Alligator mississippiensis: one gene and its partners. The protein of the gene in region 2 interacts with the protein of the main gene of each other region in a pairwise test. Links are inferred from orthologs where the notes say so. Each region holds a gene or a part of one and is shown on either strand. Other genes may lie near its edges. The genes, in order: MEOX2, NCK2, TRIM41 and VARS2.

Region 1 (7,239 bases), on a different chromosome or scaffold from region 2:
GAGGTTTAACATTAATTTTAATACTTTACAGATTTATGTTAGTTAAAAAAAGGAAATGCAAGAAATTGTTCTCACTGGACTGTATTGGCAGTCTATTTTAATGGTATAATAGAACCTTGTAAAAATTATTTTTAGTGAGGGCCTTCCAGTTCAGCACACTTTTTATGTAATAAATTAAATTGCTGGTGTAGCTTTAAAATTTGTAATGCTTTGAGATCATGAAAATTAGAATGAAGTCCAAGTTTATATGGGAGAAGTAACAATAAATATAAACCTGAGTGTTTTTTTTTAATAGACAAGCTGTACGATTTTTTTCCCCAAAATTATGTCTGATACATCTTACATTTGTAACTGCATCAGAAGGCAATGGAAATACACCACCAAAATACCATGTTAAAAGTTATGCATATTAATGACGTTTTCTTACAAAAGGTCTTTACAAAGTACAGTGGGTATTTGTTCTGTTCTAGATCTACAAACAGTAAAAGTAATTTTCATCACCTTTTAACTGTCTGTAGATATTCTTTGTTTCTGACAGGTAATCAACAAATTACTCATTTTCAGTTAAAGGTAAGATAGCATCTTCAATATTAGGTATTAACCTCTGATTTTGTTTTTACTGAGATCTGTAAAACTTCATTGCTAGACAGAGCAAACTGCATTACTTCCAAGGGAATTAAGTAGCAAAAATACCCTCAATCAACAAAAAATCTGAAAATAAACATACATCTGTTGTGAATCTGTATTGGCTCTAATGTTGAAGTAAGGATGCCTGCCTTGACCAAGCTGCCCTGAAAAAATGCACACTAGTCATAATTACAGCGCAATAAAATTCCATCTTTTTTTGATAAACCCTTAGGTATAATAAAATCTGTGGATAAAAGGAGCTAAAATAATATTTTTAAGCTTTATATTTTGATGGTAAGGGGCATTTCTTGAGCTGGCAAAAAAATTAATAACACTGATTTCAGTGAAACCATGACAATTCATGTAAGTGAAGGATCTAACCCTAAAATATTTCCATTTGTCTCATTGTACTGTAGCATGCATATACTAACAGGGCACAGACCTCAAAAGAAATGGGCAACACCCCTAATTATCAGCAGAGCTATTAACACTAAAAATATCAGCAGGGTCAAATGTTCAGGGTATTAAAACCTGTTCTAAGAGCCTGAACAGGAGTATAGTACAGGAATTCTGAAGCAGAAGGCACTCCGCCTTCCTTCATATGATTTCTATATCTTGCAATACATTTTAAAATTAAAAAACAGATGCAACCATTAGCTCATTTTAGGAGAGGATAAACGATGTCCAAAGCTAGGTTGGTTCCAGCTGTTTTATGAGCTAAATGGTTTACAGTTCTCAAACATCTAAAACCATTCTTTTATTTTCACTTGGCATTAGAAGTTTAGGGCAAGTTTGTTGACACTGACTACTCCCACATGTAGATCAAAAGTGCAATATAGAAAGAGATAATAATATAAACATGAAACCAATCAATAATATGGAGCTCTAATAAACCTTCATATTTTGCTTCATAGAATTGCTTTTATTTACAAGTTTTACATTAGAATTTTCTTGATTTTTTTTTTTTTTATGTTTCTTTACAGCCTGTTTGCTGAAAGCTGCTTTAAAATTATACAAGCCACTGTGTCACAAATCTACAGATTAGTTATAGACTGATAAATCCATAAGTGTATTAACTAGGATGTTGCAATAAACTGTTAGCTACTAATTTGCTTTAACACCCATTGCATGGCTGTGTTTGCTTATGTTGCTTCAAATGAAAAACCCTTCAAATTCTTGTTTTGCTTACAATGAGAACTTTTGAGACATGATGAGAAGAGAGGCAGGTATTATGGGAAACAGAGGAAGATTAATTTTAGATTATATTGAAAAAAGTATTTAGCTCTCTGATTTTCCCCTCCATCATTCCCCTTTTACCTTTTGGATGCTCTTCTTGTACAAAAAAAAAAAAAAAAGAGTGCAACATGGCTCTGACTCTTGCTTCTCTTGGAAAGTTAATCTTTACTTTTCCCACCATCTCCTCTTTTGCTTCACTTATTCTGCTTTTTATCGTAGAAAACATGTGCCAGTGCCCCCTAACCTCTAGAGTTAAACAACTCAACTGAGTTTGATCTGGAACATTATATTTTTTTAACCCGTTCTTCAGCTGTTTAGATATTTTATGCCTCAAACGGTGTCAGTCTCGCTCTTTGCCTTCTATTTTCTCCCTCCTTGTTCAACATTTCCAGAGCCTGATTGACTGACAGCAGCAGGTTGGTAAGAAACTTCGGGACATGCTGTTAACATCTGACGCTGGAAGAGTGCTCAGCCTGGGCACGTTAAGGGAAGTCGCACCTATTAGAGATGAAAGAGCTCTGTGCCTGATGACTATTTACAAGGCACCTGAAACAAAATGCATTCCCTCCCTGTCCCCCATCAGCTGTTTACAGTCAGAGGGTTTGTGCTGGAATAACCCCCCTCCCAAAAAGAGAGGGGAAAAAAAAAAGGACTTGGATATACTGCATCCATTGCATGAATAAGTTAGGGGTAAATTTTGTTTTGGCTCCTCCTGCAAAGCGGTGCTAACAAAGCACTCCCGTTAGTGAACCTCTCACGGTTCCTCCTTCCTGGGGCCCTGAGCACTACGTCTTCTGGACCAAGCAGCAGCGCTCATCTCGCAGCGCTGGGTGCTAAGAAAACAAGTCACAGCTCAGGCATCGCCTTTGCTTTGTACGCTTCCTTTTAATATTAGAGCACATATTGAAACGATAAACAATGAAACGCACAAAATATTTCATCAGTGTTGTAACTGAATATTTCCTTTATTCTGAAGCAATATCAAGGGGTGACCAGTGCAAAGCAGCAACAAGACTTACTGCTGCTTTGGACATCACATTAGATGGGATTGTTACAGCTAAAACTAAGTTAACACACTATTTTGTTTTGGGGTTTTTTTTCGAAAAAAAGCATTAGATCTAAAAAATTTAAAAAAAAAGGGGGGGAGGAGGGAGGGCGACTCTTACCGTCTAAAGACTGCTGCAGGTTCCGGCTCAGCCTGAAACTGCCAGGGCAAATGCAGCAGCTGCTGAACAAAAGTTTTTAGATTTTTTTTTTTTTTCGCGCAGAAAGTCTGCAAAACTAATTTCCCACAAAATAGGGCTCAATTTCCGTTTAAGTAACTAGCTCTTGCAAATCTCATGCAATTCCTGATTTTTTTTTCCTATAGCGACTGAAATTCTTTTTTTTTTTTTAATTCTTGACACACGGACTCCAGAATTAAGACACAAATGGCAGGACCCCTGCTGATTTATTTATTTGGGGGCGGGGGTTAAGACAGAAAACGTTGCTTGTGGGTGCTCCCCCTTGCTCACGCACACGTTGGTGGGGGGGTGTACAGGTGGGCTGCGCTGGCGCGCGGCTCCACTGACTGCATCCCCTGCGAGCAGCGGCGTCTCAAACTCTCTCCGCCGTGTCTCACCTGAGACGGCGAAAAGCAGCGTGGGGAGGTATTAGCTGCAGTCAGAGAACAGGAAGATGTGAGAGAACTTGGTCCTTTTGGTGTGTGTTGGGGGGGTTGTTTTGTGGTGTTGATGGCAGCAAGTGTCTTCCACTGACCATGAGGCGCTGGTGTAACCTCCCGCAAACTCACTCCCTGGCCTCTCGGCGCCCGTTTCCCGCCCGAGCCCCGGGGCCAGCAGAGTGCGGGGAGCCCTGTGCAGCGGGGGCCACGCGCGATCGGCCCAGCGGAGCGTTATTCGCGCTGTTTGTTGCTGGTCACCCCGGGTGCGGCAGAGGGCCCGGGCCGGGGCTAAGGGGGCAGGTGTGGGGCCAGCAGGTGAGGCCGGCAGGGGCGCGGGTGCGAAGCGGGCGCCGCCTCCAGCGCGCACACAAGTTCAGGGGCGGATGCGCGCAGCAGGAGCGGAGCCGGCCCCTCCTCCCGGGGGGCGGGGGGGCGAGCAGGCGGGTGCGCGGGTCCCAGGCGGCGGCGGCGGCCCCGCCCGCGGCGGGCTGGGCCGGGCCGGGCCGGGCCGGGTCCTGTCCTGTCCTGTCCTGTCCCGCGGACGCGGGGCTGCGGGACGCGCCGGAGTTTCGGAGGGAGTTTGCACGCGGTCAGCGCGGCGCGGCTGAGCCAGCCCCCGGCTCACGTTACACGCGCCTGTATTTATAACCTCCCGGTAAGCGGCGGGTTCCCCCTCAAAGCCGCGGCGCGGGACCACCTTCCCCGCCGCTCCCGCTCCGCGACAGCCGCGCGGCGCCGGGACCTGGCCCTGGATTACCCGCGCCCCGCATGCCATGGATCACACCCTTTTCGGCTGCCTGCGCAGCCCGCACGCCGCGGCGCAGAGCCTGCACCCCTTCTCCCAGTCCTCGCTGGCCCTGCACGGACGCTCCGACCACATGTCCTACCCCGAGCTCTCCACCTCGTCCTCCTCGTGCATCATAGCGGGATACCCCGGCGAGGAGGGCATGTTCGCCAGCCAGCATCACCGCGGCCACCATCACCACCACCACCATCACCACCATCACCACCAGCAGCAGCAGCACCAGGCGCTGCAGACGAACTGGCACATCCCCCAGATGTCCTCCCCCCCGGCCGCGGCCAGGCACAGCCTGTGCCTGCAGCCCGACTCGGGCGGCCCGCCGGAGCTGGGCACCAGCCCCCCGGGGCTCTGCTCCGGCGCCTCCAGCCTGGGCACCAGCACGCCCACGGGGGCGGCCTGCGCGCCAGGGGACTACGGCAGGCAGGCTCTATCCCCGGTGGAGACGGAGAAGAGAGGCGGCAAGAGGAAAAGCGACAGCTCAGGTAAAGGCTTCCCCTTGCATTGGGGGCCGGGGGGAGAGGGTGGTTGCCTCCTGCCTGAGGGCCCCGGCGACACCCGGCTTCGGAGCGGGTCGTGCCTTGACCTTCCCTCCTGCAGCCCGTGGGGCCGGGGCATGGACACGCCGGCACGTGACAGCGCCTGACAGGCCGGGCCAGGAGGTTCCCGCAGGGCCCGGGCCCGGCGGGGGCAGCTTCCTCCTGGCGCGCTCCGCCGCCCCCCGCGGGAGCCCCGCGCCCAGCTCACCCCGGGGTCAGGGGCCGGGGCCGGGGGGCTGGCGCGGCTCCCGGCGGGAGAAGAGCTGAGGGATCGAACAGTTCACTTGGCCTATCTGGGGGGAGCCCCTTGCCCCCCTCCGCCGTCAAAAAGTAAAATCGAAAAGTTTCTCCCATAGTATCTTGGTATTGGTGAGCCGCGCAGGGAGATGGTGCTTGATCCTGGGGCTCGGCGACAAGTTTCCCCCGTGCTCAAATGCCATTCTTGTGAATGGCTCCGCCACGGTAGCAGGGCTTCTCTGGGAAGGGATGGCATTTCTAGTACACGGGGAGGAAAGAAGGTGTGTGAACACGTGCACACCCACCCTCTCTCTCCTGAGATGTGGGCACGCACACACACACACGCACACTAGTGGGACAGGCACTGTAGTAGGACATGCATTCACACTCTAGTGGGACAGATGCGTCACAGTCTGGTGAGACGCAGGAGGTAGTGGGATAGGGCAGTACACACACACACACACACACACAGAGTAGTGAGACATGCAGGAGGTAATGGGATAGGGCAGTGTGTGCAGACACTCTCTCTGTGTCTAGTGAGACAGGAAAGTGTTTCCCCCATTGGAAAGTCAGGAGCAGACAAACCAAGTTGTACACTACCAAACTTTGCAAAACCGGGCTCTGTGTTTACAAGTTGGAGAGAGTCATGGCTTCAATGCTGAACACTAGTAAATATTTGGAAAAAATCCTTTCACTTTCTCTTCTCTGGCAGCAGTTGGTTTTTCTTTATAAAACAGAGTGGTTCTCCCCCCCCCCCGCCCCCCCGTCTTTTTTTTGCTCTCCACATCATCCAGAAAGCGTTGTACCCCGACTCGCAATAAAACACTAGGTTAGTTAGTAAGCTTCTTATGCACTAGGGAATCTATTGCTTATATAAAATAAAAATATACTTCCAACTATAAAAAAGATGCTACTTATGGGCATTTATTTGGAATGACATCTATATCTTATTTTATGAAACAAATTGCATGTACTTGACCAGGTGAAAGATGTGGTGATTATTTTCACCAGTTTCTAATGAAAATAATTTTAAGCCATATGGTGCATGAGAGGAGTCTGTGAACTCATCAATTTATTTACAAAGGCAGAAAACAAGAGAGAATTCATCACTAATTTATAATGCTAGGGAAATGTTCATTACAGTTTTTCATTTATTGCAGTTTGCAATGAAAAAGCCCACACCCGTGCTGAAATCGTATCTATCTCTGAAGTCAAGGGTGTCTTTCCAATGGCTTTTGAACAGTATTGATTGAGACTTTAGTTGTGATGGCTTCAGTACAATGGTGTAATCTAGGGTTTGCTTTCTAAGGCAGTATCTGAATATAAAGCTGCAGAGTGGAGGCATAAAACTGTTTTAACCCAAATAAATATATTAATCTATTTATTATTGCAAAGGCTTGAGTCAAGAAGGCCTGCCTTAAGCTTTCTTCAAAAGAGTGTTGCCTGCATGCCACTACTCAACCCCTCCCACTTTTTCAACCTGAGCTTTTGTCCTAAATATTCAGTATTATGGTAACTTATGACACCAAAACCTGTTTTTAGGTCAATCAGTCTGTTTCTGCAATTACCAGCAGTTATTGCTTATTTGACTACTTTCAGTGAGAAATATACAGGATGGATTATTTTGTTCTGAATCAAAATCGTGTTCTTTTATTTTTCTTTTTGTCTTAATCATACCTTTTTTTTATAAAAGTAATGCTCATTCTGAGAAGTTTAATCCTCCACTTTAATGCATGTTTACATATTAAATTATGATTGTAAATAACGAAAGAAGGAGGCTGTTAAGTTAGTGTGTGGTGGTCTTAGACACCAGTAATTTAATGTTAGTGTATATTTCAGGATAAATTTAGTATGCTTGAATTTACAACACGAATTTAAAGGAAACATTAGATATATTTTTACTCTGGCTATATTCCACATTTCAGAACCAAGTTAGCTTTGAGGTTGCCCATGTCTTGAAATATTTTGCTTTTATTATTGTGATTTTTTTGACATCAGGAATGCTGACTCATAAAGCTGAGGTTTGAGACTTGTCGTCTTAAGAAATTAACATGATTAAAATTACTTGCACTATTATTATAAAAAGTAGCTATATTTACTCAAGCTTATAGAACTGTCACACAGATTTGCTAGTGGAG
Region 2 (7,862 bases):
TTTTTTTTTCTGATGAGGGTTATCACCATCCCCTTCTACTAAAATGTTGGCCAACCAAGATATCCTGGCTGTTTGCTAGAACATAGTACTAACCATTAATACCTTATAACACCCACCCCCCATTTTAAGTGCATTTAAGTTTTTTCAACCCAGACATTAAATTAATACAAAACAAATGAAACCTTACATTTACTGCATATAGCAGCATTCTTTGGAGAACCTACAATGTTTTCTCTTACACGTGGCCCTCTCGAATTTTACCTACTCTATTATTTTTACACTGACTTCCACCCACTGAAAAAAAAAAGGAAAGAAAGAAAGGAAATCTCAGAAGTTTTTCTGTCACTGGGGGGGGTATACACATTCTGGCAAATGTCACAATTCCGAGCTCCAATTAAACAGAAGTTTTCATGATACGAAATAAATATTTCTGAAATGTTACTACAAGCAATTGGATCACCCTACGTTACTGCTCCTGGAATGGTTTTTAATTAACAGGTTTGGTATTCTCTCTAGACAAGATGTCTTCTTCCTCACTTGAATGTATGAACTTGTAACAGACTACTCTATCTTAAAATTTTGCATCCTGCTGAACCAGGCAACTACACAAAAAGTACTTTAATCTTAGGTTTAACATTTAGCAACCTCTGCTTTATTAACAATGAAAGCATGTTCATTTCTTTTGTAGAACACAATTTACTGATCTCTTCTAAAAAGTAAGTTTTCTTTTCTATTTCATGCTTTCAAATGTTAAAATGTATTCTTTGTACTATTATTTATGGACTAAAAATTAAATCTTACATTTATGTAGCAAGGGTTTTTTTATAATAATTATTTAGAGCTGATTAGGGATTTGTTATTTCACCCACCACTAAAATGTAATCAGTCTAATTTCTTACAAGACAACTAATGTAGCTAATCAAAACAAAGGAAGATGGGAAGAAGGAGTTCCCCAAATAAATGTGCAAGGATCAAAAATGGTGTCTGTCTTGGGAAACCTCAATCAATACCCACACATACAAGTACTACAGATTCTTAAACAGACCCAAGTCATCAAGTTTTCAGCTGCATGAAGAAACAACACAGTGCCCAATAACATCACCATACACTTCATTTTGACTGATTTAAAAGAACAAACAGGGGCTCTTATTAAATTACCCATATGAACTCAAGATTTCTTTGGAGGTCTTCCATATGAAAAGTGACCAAAGCCTACCCTACTTAACTTTTGAGGTTTGAAGAGATTTCATTCTACAAGCTGCAGACTCTATCATTTCTGCACATTGAAAACATGGTAAAAAAGGGCATTGCCTTTAGCTTCAATTTAAGTTTAATAGCAGTCAAAAAGCAGCTTTCCACAGAACAACCCAGCTCTTTTGCAGGGCCTGTCTCTTTAGGACAGAAGCTGTTTTGCTGGTGGAGCACTGTGTCCAATGAGGGAAGAAGCAGAAATAAGAGTGTTCCTTATCCTTCCCCTGCAAAAGCCAAGAGATGATAAAAGGAATAAACTGGTAAAGGCGATCCCCTCCCCCTCCCATGCAACCAGCCAGGAAACTTTAAAAGGAAATGAAGGGGAGGAACAGAAGAGACAGCTAGCCCCTGCAAAAGAGAGAGAAAGAAAGCTAAGAGGGAGCTGGAATTTCAGTTTTTCAGACACTTATTAGGCAGAGGCCAAGGTAGGGAAACCAGGCAGAAGACAAATGACTACATAATCTTTGCATTTCTTTTGCAGGGGAAATCTTGGAGATCACTTAAAAAATTGAGCACACGTGTGTCACTTCTAGGCAGCTGATTCAGATGCAGTTAACAGCAACCACAACAAACAAAACCCCTCACGACTGTTATGTATTGCACGAGACACACACTACCAATCGCCATCCCAATCTTTATAAGAGCAGGACCTCCCTCCATCCCTGCCCAGAGCTGTCGGCAGCTGCCATCCTGGCTCAAGTTCAGCGAGGAATAACTACAAAGGCTGACGTGCCAGCCCCCTTGTTGCCGATACCACCGCTCGGGGCGACCCCAAGCATTTTAGTTTCGACCGCCGTGATGCTACCTTTCCGAAACAATTGAGTCACTTCAAGACCAATTGCCTTTGTTGCCAAGTTAAAAGCACCCTGAGCTGTCTTTAACCCAAACCTGAGCCTACACAGCTGCGTTTGTTCCTGAACGGCTGCTGAAGAACAGCGGTGACAAGTACGGGGGTCACACCACTGCTCAAAGACAATGGCACAGAGCTTAAAAAAAAAAAAGGGGGGGGGGGAGCGGGGGAGGTGACAAGCCCGCAGATGCTGAACACGTTAAACCCTATAAAGCTGCTTCACTGAGGGCACAAGAAGCTGAGTCCCGCCCAAAGCGCGGGTCTCTTGAAGGGACACCCGTGTCCTTAAGGCTGAAGCGAGCAGAGGCCACAGGGATCGGGCCCGAGGAAGGGAGCAGGGGCCGAAACGGGACACGGCTGCAGCCGAAGGGTAGGAGGTGGCAGAGCGGAAAGCAACGGAGCCCCCGTCTCGGTCCCAGTCGGATGAGGCCCGAGGGACGCGGGCAGACCCCTCGCGAGAGGCGGAGGAGGGGGCTCCGCTCCCGCACACCTGCGCCCCGCGGCCCCTCCCCTCGCCAAGTTTCCCAGGCCCCGGCTCCGCCCCGCCCCGGCCCGTGACCCCCGACCCAGGCCGCCGCGGGCGGGACGTGGCGGGAGCAGCGCCCCCCACACCCGCAGGTGAGCCCGGCCGGGGCCTCCTTTCCCCTCCCCTCCCTTCCCTTCCCGTCCCGGCAGCGGGCAAGGGCCGAGGCCGCGCCTACCTGGGGGCAGCGGCGGCGGCGTCTCCCCGGCGGGCTCCGCTCTTTGTCTCGGCGGGTCCCGCTCCCCCTCCCGTCGGCGGCGGATGCAGCAGCAGCGGCCGCCTCCTTCTTCCCGCGGGGCCGCCCCCCACCCGCCCCTCCCGGACGGACGCGCTGCCCCAGGCCCCGGCTGCTGCCTCGCTCAGCCCCGCGGCGGCGGCATCGGCCCCTCCTCCGTGCTTGCCTCTTCCCTTCCTGCCGCGGCCGCTGCCGGGATCCGTGGGGCGGGGGAAGGGGGCGGCCTCTGAGCCCGCCCTCCCTCGCCCGGGCTCCCGCCCCGCCCCCGCCATGGAGACGCCCAGTCCCTCCTAGGCCTTGCACACGCCCCGCCCCCCACAACCGGGCGCTCGGGGGTAAAGCCCCGCCCCTTTACGGGGGGGGGGGGGGAAGCAACACAGGGCTGCACAAAGCCCCTGAATCGGCGTTTCTCACACACGGGCCGAGACCGTTTGTCCGATTCAACTGCAGCCCGAGCTATAAATAGCCCAAAGATTACCGCCCCCTCCAGACCCACCCATTGGCGCTTCCTGTGTGACGTCATCCCGGGAGCCCCGCCTTTAGAAAGACGCAAGGGGCATGGTAGGGAGGGACGCCCGTTCTGAGGGCTCCCTCCCCAACCCAGACATGCCCGGCGCTGCCCCATTAGGCCTTCCCCGTGACGTCAGCCGCGGGAGCCCCACCCCCTCAAGGCGGCCCGGGACCTAAGGGGGAAAGCCGGCTGCGAGGGGGCGGGGCTGTCCCGTGGGGCGGGGCGAGCTGGGCTCTGTCGGTGCTCGCCTCAGCGGGCGGGATAGGCTGGGAGGGCGAGAGTGTGGTGAGGGCGGGGTGACTGGTTTTCTCTGATTTAAAAAGAAATCCCCAATTTTGGCAGTAAAAAAAGTAACCCAAATCCACATTTTTCTGTGATTAAAATGAAACATCACTATATATATAGTAACCCAAATATATATATATATATATATATAGTAACTATATAGTACCTATAGTAACCAACTATGTACTCTATATATAGTATATATAGTAACCCATATCTATTTATAGTATAGTATATATAGTAACTATATACTATATATATTGACCCAAATATATATATATGTATACATATATATCTACTAACCCCAAATATGAAACAGCACTAATATATAAATAGATATAGTGGTGTTTCATTTTAATCATGGAACATGTGGATTTTGGGTTACTTTTTATACTTGGAAAATTGGGGATTTTTTTTTTTTTTTTAAATCGGAGAAAACCAGTATCCCTGCTCATCAGATTGGCATTGTCAGATCCCAGCAGCTTGGCCTCTCCTGACTTGTTCCCTTGTCGACTTGCAGACTTTGCATTTAAACGTGTTTGCTAGGGTTACTCTCGCCCCCACCCCCATGCCAAGGGCAGGTCCAAGGGTGCAGGTGCCATGGTGCAGCTATACCCTGCATCCAAAATTTTAAAGCCAACTGCCTGGCAATGATGGCAGCATTGCTAGACGGAGCCAACTGACTTCATGGTTCATCTTGTGGGCTAAGATCAAGTGTAGCCGCTGCACTGGTCTGTTGCCCAGACGGAGAGGGATTTAAATGGCATTATGTAGTGAAGGGTGCACCCCTGTCCAATGCAGAGGACAGGACGCCCTCTAAGAGTCTTGTAATTAGCTTCCCAGTGCCCAGCTTCCAGTGGGAGGATCTTGGCTACACACTTACTTTATGGAAATGGGGGGACTCCTCCCAACCATGCTCCTGTGGTCATTGGCTAAGGACAAGTGAGACTCAGGGGCATGCAAACCCTAAGCCCTCCAGTCTTGGGCCTGCATGTAGGATGCCTGCCAATGGATTTGGGAGTATCTGAAGCCCCAGGCTGAAAAGTCTGGGGTGGAGGATACTTGCGGGTTATAGCCCCACATATAGTGTTTGAACAACTGAATGTTGCTTAATCGAGAGGATTCAGAACTGATTTGGCTAATTCAACTTGGAATACAAAAAATTTTCCAAAAAAAAAATCTCTCCTCCCCTTCAGGTTTTAAGGACACCCTCCCCTTTCCAATGGTCCTGATGTTCCACTCTTCAAACTATCCTTGCTTTTGCAATGTTGTGATGTCTCTAAACTATTCCAGGGAATGCCACTCTTCCATTTCACAACCCTACAGACTGTTTTTAGCTCTAGCTAAAAAACTTAACTCGGGTGTAATAAAATTAACTCAGGTTGTGACAGTGAAGTATCAGAGGCACTGTTCAGACACTGAAGAAGGCTAGATTTTGTGTTAGGCAGAAAAGGTTCTTTGGGTAGATATGGTATCTTTTATTAAACCAACTAAATAGTTGAGGAAATTATTCTTTCCAAGCTTTCGGGCACAAACACCCTTCTTCAGGCATGGGGAGAGTTTGTGTTATGAATTTGAGTGAGAGATGCATATTGAACTAAAATGACCACGGAACTAGTGACACAAAAGGACCTGGGGGTTACAGTGGACAATAAGCTGGATATGAACCAATAGTGTGCCCTTGTTGCCAAGAAAGCTAACAGCATACTGGACTCCATTAATAGGAGTGTTGCCAGAAGAGAAGGGAATAACCAGTTCTCTCAATATTTAGCACTGGTGAGCTCACATCTCAAGTACTGTGCCCAGTTTTGCACATCCCTCCCGCCCCCCTCCAGAAAGGATGCAGACAAATTGGAGAGTCTAGAGGAGGACAACGAGAATGGCTTGGGGGCTAGAGCACAGGACTTATGAGGAGAGGCTGAGGGAACTGGGCTTATTTAGTCTGGAGAAGAAAAGGTTGAGACGGGATTGAATAGCAGTGTTCAGCTACCTGAAGGGTGTTTCCAAAGAGGATATAGCTAGACTGCTCTCAGTGGTGGCAGACGACAGAAATAGGAGAAATGGTTTCAAGTTGCAGCAAGAGAAGTTTAAGTTAGATATTATGAAAAACTCTCACCAGGGTGGAAGTACAGCACTGGAACAAACATGTTGTGGAAGCTCCATCCTTGGAGGTTTTTAAAGCCTGGCTATAGTAAGCTTTGACTGGGGTCATCTAGCTGGGGATGGTCCTGCTTTGAGCAGGGGGTTGGACTAGATGACTTTCTGAGGTTGCTTCCAACCCTCATTTGCTCTGATTTTATGATTCTATCTTTAGACTCTTTTTTTGCCATGCTTCTTATATATTTTTAAACTGTATATATAATCTAGCAAATTTGTGCACATACCAATAATTATATTTGCTTTTGCTTTGATCTTAAACTGAGTAATATAGTGCTAGCCCCCTAGTATATCAGTTAAGCATCTAGTTTCTCTTTAACTGGAGAAAAATGCGTTGTGCTATATGTGATGATGTGCCACACATCTGCATCCCCCCCTTTTCAAAATCCTAGATCTGTCCATGTTTGCCACCCCTAACAAGAAGAAATAAGTCTGTATGCAAGCCAGGAATGCTTATGAAGTCAGTTGACTGTTTTTTTCTTAAATAAAAACTTCTTCAGAAAAAACCCACAACATGCATATTACAACAGAGTGTAGCTGTGCCTCAGTAAAATGAGTTGTTTTGCTTTCCACATGAGACACAGTATGTGCGTTTTGTCAACCTATGTCCTGAGTTTAAAACAAAAGGTGCACTGTTTTTCTGCTTTGCAAACCTGTATGGAATCAGGAATGCCTTCGGGGAGGCAGTACCATGTATTGCAGACGTAGGCAATGCTTTCCTTTGTTAAGATATCAAGACAACAGATTATTTTTATTTATTTTTTTATTAGAAACTTAAAAATGATGAAAGGATTTTCTCACAATACCTGTTTAAAAGAAAAAACGTTATTAGAAAATGTTAAAAAGTATAGTTATTACATGACTTAGTAGAGTTGGAAGACAATACAGGACCTTGTGCATAAGTACATATTTGGTGTATGTTAATGCAATCCAAGATGTGCAGTTTAGCCATATATTCTGGCTGAAACCAAGCATGGAAAAATTCAACCTAAAAGTAGAATTTCTTCTTTAAAAAGTTACTATTTGGGATCCAATTTTGCCATAATTTCTGGAAGCAGACCCCTCTGCCCACATGAAGCCCGCTAATTTTTTTTTTTTAATCATTGGGGGTTTAGGTGAGTGGAGAAGGCCAAAATAGCGGGACTTTAGCAAGTAATATTAAAGTTATGGAGGAAGGAAGTTACTTTAAAACTTTAATAAGTTGTGTGCGGGCCGGGAGCGATCCGGGGCCCTTTTTCCGTGCCTCGGGCTTTGGCCAGCAGCCCAGACACGCTGGGTCGGAGAAAGCAGGCGACACGCTAGAATTAGGCATGGACGCTTAGTGGTTGATTCAAGATTGTTTACTTACACCGTAGATGGTCGCAGTGTAGGCTGGAAAGTTTCCCAGGTAAAGCTCCGCTTAAATCCCCATTTGAGGACTCAGACAAAACTCTCACTCTCACAGAGTTGTCGAGGCTCCGTGGATCCTTGTTTGTGCGCAGGGAAGAGGGATACGTCGAGGGTTGCGCTCGGCGACGGGGAGAAGAATCGATAGGTGATCAGTCTATCGATCAGCAGCCTCAGGTCAAATCTCCGTAGAGGCACTTTGCAGCGTGCTCTAAGTTCTCCGACTTGGGCGGAAACCACCCAAGCCTCTTATACGGCTGGCAAGCCAATCACTAGCCGCCACGTGGGAATAATTTTAAAGCAACCAGTAATGGGGCTCGAATTTAAATACAAATGGCGGGAACTCCTTGCAACATGCATTTCTATGCTGCAAAGAAGAAATGCACCCTGCAAAGAAAGCTTCAAACGGTGGGAAAATAATTCAGTGGTGCCAAAGCACACACAAAAACAAAAATCACACCTTTGGGTTGTGACAAGTTGCAACCATTTGACAACAACTTTAATTTTTTTTTGCTTTCCCTTGAGAAAAAGAGGTTTTGCCTGACCAACACCGACTCAGCCTCATCCATTAATTTTTCCAGGTTCTGCAGACAATGATGCACAATACCACTGTGTATTCCAAACAAGTTCAGGGAATGATGAAAAAACACTATAAATTTTGCCT
Region 3 (7,196 bases), on a different chromosome or scaffold from region 2:
CAACAGACTTCCTGCCTATGATAGGGGGCTGGACTCGATGATCTCATGAGGTCCCTTCCAGCCCCTAACGTCTATGAATCTATGAACCCCTGGCACAGGTGCCACAGCATGGCACTTCAAGACATTCTGCTTGGCACACAGACCTTGGGGAAGGGGCTGGGGCTGCGCTGCCACAAGGATTGGGTCACGCATGCCTTAGAATCCACAGTTTCATTACACAAGAACCTGGGACACAGGGAAAAAATCACAGAGTCCAGACAAATGGTGTATACTGGGCACTGTACAAGCATGTACCGATGCTTTCCTGCTTTTACTTCTCTCTCCTCAGGTGTAAGGACCTGAGAACTGAATAACTAGCAACAATAGTAGAGGGGTCAAAGGCCAGGGAAGCTGGGAAAGTCCATGGTAAGACTAGGTTTGGGACAAGCCTGGAAGGAGCCTTCCCAGCCACCTAGCACAATTCACTGTTTGAGGCTTGACCAGAGAGGTCACAAGCACATTGGGATCTCTCCAAAGCCATAGCCATAAATGTGCTGTGAAAAGCTCCTACAAGGTGCCATAGGTAAAGAGCAGGGGAGGCAAAGGGGTCCTCACTGCTTTGCTACTACACCCTAGGGAATTTGGTGGATGGTAACATGGTCAGATGATCTTAGCAGAAGGATCAGATCCAATTCTGCAGGGAAAAAAGGAAGGAGAAAAACACAGGGTCCTTGCCCATTTGACAGGGGTGGGGAAGGAGACCTTTCTGACTTCAAGCATGGCAGTGGTTTTTGTCATGAAGGTGTGAGCCACATTTGCACTTGTGCTTAAGTACGGGGAGTAGGGCTCCCAGTCTGTACTCAGTGTCCAGTGCTTTATAGTAAGGGACAGACAAAAAAAACAAAAAACAAAAAACCCCACAAGCAAAAGTCAACAGCCAGGCAAAATGCACTGTATACATAGAGGCTGACTTTGAGATCTTGAATCTTGAATCCCCCAAAACCATGCTCAACCCACTAGCCAGGAGCTTAAAGATTTGGCTTTGTTTCTGTCCAGTTTTGAACCGAACGCGACAACCACTACTCTACAGAAACTAGCTACAGCCTCTGACAGTAGAGGTATGGTATGTCAGAGACCTGGATACACCTGAAGTTCTTCAAGGAGTAAAAGCAAAGGCTTCTGTTTAAATGCTACTTCGAAGAGTAGCAGAGTAGCCGATTGAGGACACAAAGCCTACCAGATGGGGGCTTGCCTTAGGATCCATGTGGCTTAGTTACACACCTACTTGGGACACCGGCGATGTGAAGAAAATCTCCTCAGAACCCAGACAAATGGCCTACACTGGGCACTGTGCAGGAGCAGATACTGATGTTTTCCAGCTTTTACAGATCTTTCCTTGAGTGTAAAAACCTGGACACTGAATGATATAAAACAGGTAGCAACAGTCATCAAAACCCAGACACAGCTGGGAAAGGATCTGCAGAGGGCAGATTTGAAATAACAAGCCTGGAAGGGGCCTCTGCAGCCACCCCACCTAATCCACTGTGTTTGACACAGCCACTTGCCCAGGGACGCTGCAAGTACAAGCTGTGAGACCTCTCAGAGGCCACAGCCATAAATGCTCCACGGTGAGCGCCTACAATGTGCCCCCAGGTAAAGAGCAGGTCAAGCAAGGGGGTCATCAACGCGTTCCCACTGCAGTAGTAGGGAATTAGTTTGACGGGAACATGCTCAGCTGATCTTGGGAAGAGGATCAGGCCCAACTCTGCAGTGAAAGGGAAGATAAAAAAGCAGGATCTTTCCCCACCCGATGTGGGGGGTGGCCATGGGTGGGGAGAAAGTATGTGGCAGTGAGTCAGAGGTGCAGTTTGTATGTCCTGTGACTAGTGCCATCACTTCCTAACCCTTGTCTCCCTCACACACATGTACAAATAAGTAGCCAGCTACTACTGCTTTAGAGGAAGGGAAGAACACACAGACAAGAGAAAAAAGATCAATGTCTCCTTTTAACATAATGTGGATATTGAGAGTGAGATCCTCTTCACCTGGATTCTCAGTCTGCATCCGTTCCCCTATGACACATTCAACGCAGCATCTCCAAGAATAAGACATCATCCAAGAGTTTAAAGGAAGCACTTTGTTTCTGCCCGGTTTCGAACCGGGGACCTTTCGCGTGTGAGGCGAACGTGATAACCACTACACTACAGAAACCAGCTGCGTGAGCTTCTCATCGAAGTGGCCACAGCCTGATCCATCGGGTCCGCATCTGGATGTGGCGTGTCCTTTTGACAGCCTGGATATCCTGCCACACCTGGGGATATAGCTTGTCCTTTGGACAGCCAGGTCTTGTGACCCCCCACCCCAGGTAGGGTTCCAGATACCTTAATGCAAATTCACTGGAAAAGAAGAAATAAGTACAAGGCAAAAAGAAAAACAAAACAACCCCCCCCCCCCCCCAAACAACCTCAAAATACAGCCCCAAACCACCTGGGTTTGAAAACTGATATTCAATTACTTTCAGCATAAAGCCAAAAAACCTTGCACCCTATCCCACCCTCAAGATCCTTCTGGATCAGATCACCTGTTTGGTAAAGGTTGCGGTTGAGTGAAATAAGCAGTACTTTCAGAGGTGGGAAATCAAAAAATATCACCTTTACCTAAAGACCCTTGTCTGCAAAAGGGAATGCGGTTTGTCAGCTGGACACGTCTCCTTTTTCCCATCTTGCTGGGCATGAGACATTATACTAACTTGGTGACAGAGCTGTGCATTATCACTCAGATCCTCCACCAGGGATTTGTAATGTCTCCGAAGAAATCTTTCTGAGTGCACCTCATTCTGGAGGCAGCAAAAGATGACTGGCCATTGGGCTGTTTGGCTATCCTAGCTGAGGGAGGAAAAAGAATAAAATGGGAATTTAATTTGGTTTTATGAATCGCTCTGTGTAGGAAGTGCCTTCTCCACAATCTCTCCTTACGATTTCTTCCAGAACTCAAACCAACCCAGCTTGCAGTTGCTGCAGGGGCAGAAATTCATACGACATCCTGAACAGAAAGGAAGAAATGTTTTAAACTTAAAAAAAAAACCCCAAAAAAGGCACTCGCCCAACGTGGGGCTCGAACCCACGACCCTGAGATTAAGAGTCTCATGCTCTACCGACTGAGCTAGCCGGGCTGGTGTGCGCTGAGCTCGTAAAACACTGCTGAAGAACTGCTACTTGTTTCCAAATCGATGGGCTATTAATCCCGGAGAAATTGACCGCAGGAAAGTTTTTGGGTGTCGCTTCCGGAGTGAAACACCGCACAGGGAACCTGGGATGACCACTCCCCGCGCGAGTCACGGGCAACAGGAGCTGGGGGATTTTTTTGGCCGATAGAAGCTCGATGCCGATATGTCAGGGCTCGGTCTGTGATTTAATCATCGTTTGAATGATGTTGCTATCATCTCCTCGCATGTCCCTTTGCTCGGAATAAATCAAGAGGAAAGACTATGCCTCAGACATGTCGCGTCTGGACGAAGAGGAAGAAGAAGAAGAAGGACTGCAGCCGGAGCAGGCTCTGCTTCTGCCGTGGCCGCTGCCGCTGCCTTTTCCGCCCCCACCGCAGAGCTGCCCCTCTCAGCCCCGCCCCCCTGTGCTGGCCCCGCCCCTTCATTCACCGAAGCAAGGTTCGCGCTTTGGAGCCCCGCCCCTTTGCGCAGGCCCCGCCCCTCTGGTAAAGAATCCCCCACTCGATCCCGCCCCTTCGGGTGCCCGCCCCCGACCTCCCAGGCACTGAGAGGCGGCTAGAGCGCCCTCGCCTCCTAGCGGAAATGATCGAGAGTAGGGGACAGAGCGTCGGCGGCACTTCTGGGAAGGGATCGTTGCTTCCCAGAGTTGCTGAGCGGGGGAGGTGGGGTGGTTGTGACCATAGAGAGGCAGCAGGGCTGAGCGCAGATCGTCCCCGCATGCCCTAGCTCCATTTCCGGTGTTGCCCCCATAGAGACTGGGGTCAGCTGGTCGCGCTTTTCCGGGGAAGGGATCGGACCCGCGGCAGAGGCTCTTCCCGACTTCCGGGAGTGAGAACCATAGAGCCGCCTGTGTGTGAGAGCAGAGTGCCGCCGTTCCCATGGCAACCCGGCGCTTCCGCCCAACAGTTCCGGGGAGACTATCGAGCCCGGCAACGCGAAGCTAGAAAGTCGCCGCCCGCTGTGTCGCCCTGGCGAGACAGCGCAACGGGCGGCCTGAAAACCATAGAGAGACGGGGCCTAGATAGTCCCGGGGGGCGTTAAAACACAACCACCAGCGGGGGCGGAGATCGAGGCACTTCCGGTCACATGACGTAGCACCACAGAGAGCGGCGGGTGTCGGGCTAGAGTGTCCCCGGCCGGCGCCGAGCGGGCCCGGGCTCCGGCGCTCGGGGGTCCGCGGCGATGGCGGCGACGGTGGCGGACGGGGCGGGGGCGGGGGCCGGCCCGGGCGGGCGGCTGAGCGCGGTGGACTCGCTGCAGGAGGAGGCCGTGTGCGCCATCTGCCTCGACTACTTCACCGACCCGGTGTCCATCGGCTGCGGACACAACTTCTGCCGCGTCTGCATCGCGCAGCTCTGGGGGGGCGATGGCGATGGAGACGGGGACGCTGACGGGGCCGGGCCGGGCCAGGCTGGCGGGGAGGCGGCCTACGCGGACGGGGCGGCGGCGGCGCCCGCGGGCGACGTAGGCATGGGCGAGGAGCTGGAGGACGACGAGCTGGACGAGGAGGATGAGCTGGACGAGGACGAGCTGGACCAGGAGGAGGAGGAGGAGGAAGAAGAGGAAGACGACATGTGGAGCGAGGAAGATGAGGACGCCGACCTGTGGGAAGACGCGGGCGAGGACGACATGTGGGAGGAGGACGTGGGTGCCGAGCTGTTCTTCGGAGACGACGACTACGATGAGGACGTGATGGAGGAGGAAGACCTGGAGGTGGAGGTGGAGGAAGAGGAGGAGGAGGAGGAGGAAGAAGAGCAGCCACCCCCACCTCCACCACCGCCTGGACCCCTGCTGCTGCCCAGGCCTCGACGCCCCCAGGCCTTCACGTGCCCCCAGTGCCGCAAGACCTTCCCCCAGAGGAGTTTCCGGCCCAACCTGCAGCTGGCCAACATGGTGCAGATCATCCGGCAGATGCACCCGCACCCCCAGCGGCTCGTGGTGCCGGCCCCCCGGGGGCCCGGGGGAGCGGCGGCCGTGGCGCCCGGGGGACTGGAGGGACGGGCCCTGTGCGAGAAGCACCAGGAGCCCCTCAAGCTCTTCTGCGAGGTGGATGAGCAGGCCATCTGCGTGGTGTGCAGGGAGTCGCGGAGCCACAAGCACCACAGCGTCGTCCCCCTGGAGGAGGTGGTGCAGGATTACAAGGTACGAGGAGGTTGTGGGGGCCATCCGGAGAGGTCCCGTTGTGCTGTCGGGGTTGGGGCGCAGGAGACGGGTGGGTGACCAGCAGCGGTCGTGGAGGGGGGTGTGCTTGGCTTGACTGGGTGGTTGGTAAGGGCTGTTGGTCAACTGGCTTGTGGGGAAACTGGATTTGGGAGCGTTGGGTTGCTTTGTGAAGTTGATTAAGGGGTTGGATTTATGGGGGTGGTTTTGCAGGTAGGAGATGCGTTTAGTTCATTCAGGTGCTGGTTTGGGGTAGGAGTTTACATGGTTACGTTGGCTTTGCCAGGTAGCACCGATGCCCCGGGGCTGTGTGGTGTGAATTGGGTTGCTTTGTAGAGCAGCGAGGTTAATCCCACTGAGTGTTTTGGTAAAGATGAACAAAGGTTGGCAGAGTCTGGCTGAATTGGTGCCCGTTGGCATGGGTTAGAGCAGGGGCAGGCAATTATTTCGGATGGAGGGCTGCTTACTGAGTTTTGGCAAGCCATCGAGGGCTGCATGATAGGCAGCCAGGGGCAGATAAATACGAATTTTCTAAATTTTTCAGGGGCCCTGGGGGCCAGATAAAATGGTTTGGCGGGCTGCATCTGGACCCTGGGCCGCATTTTGCCCACCTCTGGGTTAGAGGCTAAGGGCTTGTAACTCCTGCAGGTGTGCGCTTAGATTCACAGACTACTAGGCCAGAGGGGACCATTGCCATCACTAGATTGACCCCTCCATAACCCAGGCCTAAGAGTCCTCTAATTGACTCCTGTTTGTACTAAATCTAATTTCTTACTTGCTTTATTAATTTCCAGTGATGCCATCATGACCCCCCCTGCTAAACACTTCTAAGATCAGAGCCTTTGATTATGTATGTAGTTTGCATCTTTTACAAGGGTGTTGTGTATGGGGATTTCTCAGGAATCAATGTTGTGAAAGATCCTCCTGGGGAGATAAGCATCCAAAATTGGGCCTGAGCTGGTGAAAGAGTAAGTTGCACGGGGAGGACAGCAGCAGTGGGGGTCTGGAGGGGAGACTGTGAACTCTATCCATGAGATTGTGCAGTTAATCAGCACATTGGTTCTGCTAACAGGTTTAGTGAGATGTTTATTATCTACACAGTACCCAAAAGTGTTTTAAAAAAATAGGGAAAAAAAAGAGACATTTTTATTTTTAAAGAGATACTGTGAACTTAAAAAATTGCCTGGATGTCTTGCATCAGCTAGCACCACACTGGACTGTTCACCTGTTGTCTCTTACTCTTAGTTAGTAGCTCTTTGGGGTAGGGACCATGTCTCTGTTCTTTATCTGTAATGGCAAGCACAGTGAGGGCCCTAGTCCATGACTGAAATTTGTAGCCGTACTATTTCTGCAAGAGATTACTTAGTGTTACTTTGAAGCCAGGAAGAATGCAGGGTAGAGATGCATGCATCTCTGATTTAATTAGTCTAACATTTTCCCAGAAAAGCCATATAAAAAGCAAGCTATCAAATAGAGTGATTTGGATTCAAAAGATAAGGGAAGCAGGAGAGTGGGGGAAGGGAACTGTGCGGAGAGAGGCAAACGAGTACTTCTGCAAAATTACAGCTAACGCCCTGAATCAGCAGACTGTGGTCTGCAGGGAGAGCAGCCCCATTGCGTTCAATGGCTTTAGATAAGTGAGTAAAATGTGTGTAGGCAGGCAAGGTTCCTTGGGTGAATCTGATATCTTTTATTAGACCAACCCAAATAGTTGGAAAATAATTATTAAGCAAGCTTTCAGTTTCAAAAACCCTTCTTCAGGCTAAGGAAGTTTCAGCAGTAAAGTGTGTGTAAGCATTAATAGGATTCGGGTAGAAGATTCCTGTAGGTG
Region 4 (7,671 bases), on a different chromosome or scaffold from region 2:
GAAGGAAGACTCAAAATCCTACAGCTCCAGCTAATAGACCTCCACGGTCATGAGGCTGGAGATGAGCCCGAATAACTCTGTCCCAGCATGGGGAGGTGATCACAGCACTATGTCAGAGCCTTCAGGGACATGACTCCCTGAGAGAAAAAGCTCAAGGGGAGTTGGTGCTGTATTAGCATCCACATGTTAAGGGCAGGGGGAGAGGAAATGCAAGGTCAGTTTTCTCCTGGGCATGTGAAATGATTCCAGGGGCACCAGAAGAACAAGAACTGCTGATTTGCTGGAGCACTGAACCCATCAAAATGTTGTGGCAGAGAGATTTCTCCACTGAGGGACGGTGCCTCCTGCTGCTGGAAAGGGAAGAACCACCGCTCCTTACCTGCTTCTGGGCCTTGTCCGGGGCACCAGCCTGAGCAGCTTTCATGTGCTGACAATTCCCAGGTCTCCTTGGTTTCAGGGAAGTCTGCAGTAGGACAGAGGTCTGGGTTAGCTGTACTTGAACCAGCCAGAGGCCACTGGGGAGTCTCATTTCCCCATCACCTGAACCAGCCCCTTATTGGGCACAGAGGACTCATGGGGGCATAAGAAAGTGTCCAGTGAACACTGACTCTTGGAATGTGAATTATATCACTGATTGTTACCAGGGCAGCACAACAAGGCCCAAGCAAGAGCAAGCCTCTCTGTGCTGGGTGCTGCACACATGCAGTGAGAAAGATCAGGGTTCTCAGCCTCAGAGCTGCCCACACACAGGGATCAGGTCTGTCCCAGCTCAGCCACATGGTTATGAATCTTGCAGCCTTGTCACGTGCTGGGGCAGACATTCAAGCCTCTCCCACTGCATGCAGGACAGACACGCAGGCAGTCAAACCCACGTGGAGGCCTCCACCCTGTATCTCACCTGACTCCTGGTGGGGTAGGGGCTCCTCTCTGGGCACGTGAGGTGGCTTGTCCCAAGGCCCCGAGATTTCCATGTCTCCTGACTCCTCCAGAGGCCTTTCCGCACAATGGGCATTTGGCAGCTCTGCCCAGGAATCACTAGGTTCCTGCAGTGCCCCAGTTTGCTGCATCTCGTCTGAGGACACTTCCTCGGCCTCCCCACTCATTGCGACCTGGAAACCAGATAAATGAGTCACTGGGGAGCCTGGATCTGGGAGAGATGGGGCTGGGAGGGAACATCTCTCAAGCACATGGAGACAGGGACAGCAGCATCCATGATCAGGATGAAATGTTTTCACCTGCAGCTTCTCATCCTCCTCCTGTCCCAGGGTCATGCTGCACCCCCACTCCCAGCTCTGCATCTCCTGGAGCAGGATGGATAGGAACTGCTCCAGCACCACCAGCTCCAGAATCTGCTCCTGACTGTGGCTCTGGAGATCCAGCCAGTGCTGGCTGAGGTCCCACAGGTGGCCAAAAGCCTCCCGTGACCCCTTGGCTTCTGGGTAGCAGAGGCACCTGAAGCATTGAGACCAGGTCCTGGGTGGGGAGGTCATCCTCCAGAGCTGTGGGGTCTCTGAAGGAATCTAAGCCTCGGGAAGGGAGCTGCATGGCCTGCATCATCTCCTACCCCCGGATCTCCTGGCACTGGACCAGCTCCTGCAGCTGCTGCTTTACTGCACGTGGTGCCGACCACCTCGGGGATGCTCCCTGACCCCAGGTTGGATGACAGGAGGGAGCTGTCCTGCCCCCCGTCTCCTGCCCAAAGACCTCCTGGGTCCTGCTCCTCCAGCTTCACCTCAGGCTGCACCAAGGCTGTGAAGGGAAGGTCCACAGCTGCCATGGGCTTCAGCTCAGCAGCCACTGTCTCCACCAGGAAAGGCCTCACCCAGCCGGGGCCCTGGGCTCTCGCTCTCCCTGCACTCATGCATGGCACCTGCCGACAGTGTCTGGTCTCCAGGGCCACCTGTGGGAAAGGAGAGAGTACAGATTTCACCACCTGATGAGAGATCCGGGACCGTGATCCTGTCCCTGCCTTGAGGTCTGCCCAGCCCCGTCACCCCCGGCTATGCCCACTCAGAGCAGCCTCAGGGTTGTCCTCGCTTCCCTTCCTGCCTGACGTACGCAGCAGGAACCGGGCTAGCTCCAGAAACCCCCAACCACAGCTCCTTCCCCACCCCAGCCTCACACCTGCTCTCAGCCTCCGCCAGGCCCTGCTGTACCTGCTAGGCACCTGGAGTGGCCCATGTCCCACATCCCCACTGTCCCTCCAGTGCCCTCACAGCGCTGACTCCCCTCTGCCACAGGGACACAGCTGCCCTGCCCAGCCTCACAGCCCCTCCCGCAGTGCCCTGCACATGGCCCCAGCTCCTCTTAGCCCCAACCCACAGCCACGCAACTGCACCACGGCCAGGTTGCGTTGGTCTGGACAGTGTCTCCCAACACCTCCCGGTCACCAGCCAAGCCTCCTGCCCCACATCCCCTCATGAGCCTGTCTCCCAGGGTCCCTCAAGTGCCCCCACAGCACCTGGAGTGGGCACAGCTCCTCCTGCCCAGCCCCACAGCCCAGGGCCTCTTCCTAGCCAGAACCTCTGGACACGTGTCAGGGCCCAGAGCCCCTCACCCAGGTGGGGTCTGGCTCTGGTCCGGGGACAAAACCCTGCAGCCCCCTCCCCACCTTCCTCCGGGGGGATGGGCAGGGTCTTCGCCCCCAGGTGTAAGGCTGCAGAGAAAGCAGCACACATCTCCTGCTCCCCCCCAGCCCAGCCCTGCCCTGCCCCATGCCCCTCACTCTCTCTTCCCTCCCTGCAGTCTCCAGGGCTCCTGGGAGCTGCAATACAAACCCTGGGCTCCTCCCACCATGGAGTCAGCCACAGGTCATACCTGCTGCAGCTCCCCCTCTCCCTGCATTAACCCTTTGTTGGCAGCAGCCGGCAGGGCAGGGCAGGGCTGCTCCAAGGGGTGGAGACCCTCCCCCTCCCCTGCTGGGCTCAGGGAGGCACTAGTGGGGGGGGGGGTTGCCCCTCCCAGCCTCACTCTGCTCCCAGCCCCCTTGCCTCAGTTTCTCCTGCCCAGTTGTAACAACCCCCTGCAGTGTCAGGCACAATCGCTACAGCTGGGGAGGAACTGACTTGGTATCGACTGTCCCAGGGGTTAGGGTCAGAGGCCAATGGGAAGGGACAAACACAAGTCCCTAGGCATAAGGACGTTCACTTAAAGCAGTTTTAAGGACAAGATTGCTTTTTGAATGCAAGTCCAAACCAAGGTCTACCGTGTGCCATTCCCCCCCGCCCAGCAGGTCAGTCTGCAGGGAGAGAAAGATGGGGGGCAGAGGGAGAAAAAATTATGTGCGGGGGCATGCATGTGCACCCCCCCAGCAGGTAAGTCTGCGGAGGAAGAAGCAGGGGAGCGGGGTCCAGATCAAGGCCCCTGGGGTGAGGAAGGGAGTGGGGCCCCGGCTGGGCCAGGTGGGAGGCAAGTGGAGTCCCAGGGCACATGTGTCCGTGATCTGCCAAAGCCTCTCTCCTTCAGGCAGAAACCTCCAAGAGCACGTTTCCAGCCTAGCTGTGCCTCTGTTGGCCTACACAGGCCCCATCACATTGCAAAGCATGCCCTGCATCCGGGAAAAGCCATGAAATGCGCTTTTCCCGGATGCCATGAAATGGGCCATGAAAAAGCCATGAAATGGGCAGTCAGGGGCTGCCTGGACTTCCCTTGCACTCTAGCTGCAGTTGGTGAATTTGGTGCTGGGGGCGGGGGGTTAGACAAGCCACTAGAAATCAGAGCAGGGATGGGACAGACCTCCCCCAACACACACCCACCTTTGGTGAGGCTGGATGCAGGGGGACCCCCACACGGTGGGCACCATTAGCCGCGAGGGACCTCCCTGTGGATGACTGGCTGCTGGGGGGGCACGTGCTCCCCCCCACTCAGGGGGCAGCAGTCACCCACGTGCAAGACTAAGGGGGAGCTGATTTACATTTGCATGGCTGCTTCGTTTTTGAGCTGGGTGTCCTGCCCCGCTCCATCTACCCCACTGCCCCTAGGAAGGATGGGAGCAGCCATTCTGGGCAGGTGCCGGAACAGCTGCAAAGCGCAAAGACAAATGCGCTTTGATCGCTACATTTCAATGTCTTTGTTTTACTGAGATCTGGGGGCGCTGAACCAAATCAACTCGTCTGCGGCCCTGGAAAGTGCCAGTTACCTGGGATCTGACTTCCCGGTATGGCAATCTGCACCAAGGACTACAGCCACCTGCCTGCGGACGTCACCTATGACGTCAAGATTCGCTGCTGCTGCCCCTCCACCAGCAACACAGCGCCCGGGACAGCCGGCCCGGCCCGGCCCCCCGGCCACGGCGAGCACCCGAGGCAACAACTGCGCTAGGAGCAGACCCCCAGCCCCGCAGCGCTGCCCCGCACCTAGACACAGACTTCCCAACACCCCCCGCGCTGGCTGCGTCACGGATCTCCCGCACGGAGCACCCCTCCCCCTCCCCTACAAACCACTCCCGCCCCGAGAACCGGTGGTTTTCTGGACCCGGCGGCAGGGAGAAGAGCCGAGGGGCGGGGCATGCCCTGGCCCCGCCCCCACCAGGAAGTCCGCCCAGCAGTCGCACCGCCCCATGGCCGCCCCTGCGCCGGGACCTGGAGCCGGGGCCGTCGGCTGGTGCGTGTCGTGGCGTGTCGTGTCGTGTCGGGGGCAGGGCGGGCGGCCGGGAGCCCCGGGCGGGAATGGGGAGGGCCCGGGCAAGAGATGGCGGCTGCCGCTGGCCCCCGGGCCCGGCTCGCGCGCGGCTCAGCCGGATTTGCTTCCGTGAGACCCAGCGAGGCGCTGCGGCCGGGCACGGGTGTGCGCGCGCACAGACGCATGCGCACAACCACGCACGTGCACGTGCAAACACACTCATGCAAGCAGATGCACGTATGGGCACATGCACACTCATACACCCACATGCGCGAATGGCCACGTGTGTGCACATGCATGAACACTCATGCACATAGACACACACGTGCATGCACTTGCATGTATGGCTCAGTGTGTACACGTGCAGGCATGGACACGTGCATGCATGCACACTCATACACATATAGACACACACATGTGCATGCACATTCATGCACCTGCACATGGACACATTCAAACTTGTACACACGCACATGCACATCTGGCCATATGCCCTCCCATGTCCCCCTACCAGTCACCTATGGGCACATCCATGCATGGATACCTTCACATATGCATGCACACTTGTGCATATGCACACATGGACACATATAGACATGCACACACTCGTACACATGCACAAACATACATGCACATGTTCACACACACCTGTACACATGTGGGCTGCTGGGCATGGCTGTGAGACAAGCCAGGGCAACCCCTTTCCCTTAGAACTGTGATCAACTGCACCAGAGTTGGAGCTGGAGCCGGGGGCAGGATGATTCCCGAGCCCAGAACTGCTCTACCTGCCCAGGAAGAAAGCCTGTGGCATCTCAAGGCAGGGCCTGTAGGCCTGCAGGGTGCTGGGATTGGCATGAGCTGTTTTTAACCTTTTAAACAAAGGTAAAGAAGCTCAGTTTGGAAAATCTTGGGACTTGTTAGAAAGGCTTTTGAAAAGGGGACGGGGGGGGGGGGGAACATCCTCCTTGTGAACAAGAGTTGCACAGTCCTTTCATGCTTCCCTCTGGGGAAGCCTCCATGCAAAAAGTGTCCTTTCAGTATTTGCCCCAGACTTCTAATTCTTCCATATCCGGCCTCAGAGGGGACAAATAAGAAGAAAGAAAAATACCCCTTAAAAAATGTCCCTGTATCAGATACAGACATAGACACAGAAACTTGCATCTGCCTTGCCAGTTTCCCCAGGAGGAAAGTGGGGTCTAGTGCAGTAGGGCAGCAGGGAGCTGGTACCCCTGGGTTGCATGTGGAGTTGCACGTGCTCTGTGTTGTGCTGCCTGTGCCCAGTCTGTTCTTTGTCCAGCATCAAGCCCTTTATGGCGCTGGCGGAGCGAGAGGCAGGTTGCATTGTTCTGTGTTGCACTCTGCAGGTCCCTCCTCTGTGTCACGCCAGACAAAGGGGCCCCTTCCCCTTGATGGGCTTCAGCTGGCAGCTGGACCTCCCTGCTCCTAAACATGCTGCTGAAAAGGGATGGATCCATCAGGAGTCGGTGTCTGAGCTCCCTCCACCAGCTGCTTCAGCTTTGGACCAGACCTGGGCCCTGGGCCATCCCACCCGGATGGAGAGCTTCATCCGATTCCAGGATCTCAGCACAGAACTGGACCCAGCTGAAAAACAAGGCAGAGAAGCAGAAGAGGCAGCACAAGAGACTGGAGTCCATTGAGGCTGGAGTGGCCCAGAAGTCAGCGGTAAAGGCTCCGGGGTTACTGGGGAGAAGGTGTGGGGACTCTCTAGCTGGTGCAGTCCCCTCACAGCCAGTGCTGAGCCCAGTGCCCCACTGCAGTACTGGAAGATCTGTGCTGCAGGGAGCAGGATTAAGGCTCTGTCATTCTCAGTCACCTCTGCCCCAAGTGCCACATCTTTGCTAAGACTGAGGACGGGTCTGCATCTCTGTTCTTCAGCCACCCTAAATATCCTCCTCTACCTGCCCAAGCTGCACAAACTGCCCCTCTCCATCTACATTACCTCAAGGTGGCAGCAAGCAGAAAGCATGAGAGAGACAAGTAGTGGACGGGCTGATTCCTAGAATGGCTCTATGTGGTGGAGCTCTTCCTATTTCTTTTCCTTGGGTGGAGCCCTCCTAGGACTTAGTCTCCCTGCTTTGTCATCTGTTTTGCCATTAGCTCATAAGCAAGGAAAGACAGACCTATTTGCTGCACCGTGACAGCAGGATGAGGCCCACCAGGAATGTCAGACCATCCTTATCAGCTAAAGAGAGGTCACTAGGTACACAGTAAGTGTTTGGGATGACAGGTTTAAAAACAGGGAGGTAAGGGAAGGTTACAGGTCAGTAACCAAGTGCCAGGGAAAGTTACGGAGCAAAGAGTCCCAGCCAGCACCCACTGCTCCTCGGTGGCATTTAGGGAGCCAGTGGACTTCATCTAGTGAAATTCTGCTCAGAGAAGTCCACAGAAAGGAAAGAAAGAGCCTCACAGTTGCCCAGGTCCCCTCTAGCCAGCATCTCCGTCCTGATCTCATAGAAGGACAGTTTGACCAAGGCCCAAAGGAGATTTACCGGGGGTCCCCACAGTTTTGTGGTGCTACGGATGGAGTAAAGTGCAGCTGAGTCAGTGGTTGAGAGTGAGGTGCTATAGAAATGTTACTGGTGCCGTTCTTGTGCTTACACTTGGGGAAATGATGAATGCTCAGGAGGGAAGGGCTGGCAAGAGGGAACCTTGATGCTCAGAGAATTTGAGTATTTTGCTCAGGCTTTTTAACATACAGGATCTGCAGGCCTGGGCTAGAGGGCTGTTCTATCCTTTCCTGTTACCGTGTTGTGTGGTGCTGGGCACCAGTTAACCAGCTACCCTACCCCAACCTGCATTCCAGCACTGACCGCCCCCTGTATAAATAGCCTTTGTAATCGTCAACACAGTAAATAGCTGCACTTTGTTAAATAGCTGTGGGGTAGTTTATATGGAGATGGATACTGATTTCTCTCTCAGCATCCTCTTTGTTTTTTCTCTTTCCCAGGTGCCTCAGAGGCGGTCTAAGGCATGGGTACCAAAAGATGTGGTTTTGTATGACATCCCCACTGCGCCTGGTCAGAAAAAAGG

What was found.
Region 1: the proteins of NCK2 (region 2) and MEOX2 interact in binary tests that used the Homo sapiens proteins (3 or more experiments, as listed by UniProt). The two-hybrid records come from large-scale screens. The link is inferred for Alligator mississippiensis from reciprocal best matches to the Homo sapiens genes NCK2 and MEOX2.
Region 3: the proteins of NCK2 (region 2) and TRIM41 interact in binary tests that used the Homo sapiens proteins (3 or more experiments, as listed by UniProt). The two-hybrid records come from large-scale screens. The link is inferred for Alligator mississippiensis from reciprocal best matches to the Homo sapiens genes NCK2 and TRIM41.
Region 4: the proteins of NCK2 (region 2) and VARS2 interact in binary tests that used the Homo sapiens proteins (3 or more experiments, as listed by UniProt). The two-hybrid records come from large-scale screens. The link is inferred for Alligator mississippiensis from reciprocal best matches to the Homo sapiens genes NCK2 and VARS2.

What each region holds. Positions count from the first base shown.
Region 1 is NC_081828.1:164,601,341-164,608,579, forward strand, and holds the start of MEOX2 (homeobox protein MOX-2), read left to right. Parts: upstream 1-3,993; 5' UTR 3,994-4,299; coding exon 4,300-4,810; intron 4,811-7,239. UniProt on the Homo sapiens protein: Mesodermal transcription factor that plays a key role in somitogenesis and somitogenesis and limb muscle differentiation. Required during limb development for normal appendicular muscle formation and for the normal regulation of myogenic genes.
Region 2 is NC_081824.1:347,833,214-347,841,075, reverse strand, and holds the start of NCK2 (cytoplasmic protein NCK2), read right to left. Parts: upstream 3,084-7,862; 5' UTR 2,803-3,083; intron 1-2,802. UniProt on the Homo sapiens protein: Adapter protein which associates with tyrosine-phosphorylated growth factor receptors or their cellular substrates. Maintains low levels of EIF2S1 phosphorylation by promoting its dephosphorylation by PP1.
Region 3 is NC_081834.1:51,430,406-51,437,601, reverse strand, and holds the start of TRIM41 (E3 ubiquitin-protein ligase TRIM41), read left to right. Parts: upstream 1-3,849; 5' UTR 3,850-4,387; coding exon 4,388-5,347; intron 5,348-7,196.
Region 4 is NC_081834.1:53,002,742-53,010,412, reverse strand, and holds the start of VARS2 (valine--tRNA ligase, mitochondrial), read left to right. Parts: upstream 1-4,500; 5' UTR 4,501-4,602; intron 4,603-5,984; 5' UTR 5,985-6,069; coding exon 6,070-6,303; intron 6,304-7,588; coding exon 7,589-7,670; intron 7,671-7,671. Other genes in the region: zinc finger protein ZFP2, read right to left, coding at 380-463, 899-1,109, 1,733-1,861. UniProt on the Homo sapiens protein: Catalyzes the attachment of valine to tRNA(Val) in a two-step reaction: valine is first activated by ATP to form Val-AMP and then transferred to the acceptor end of tRNA(Val).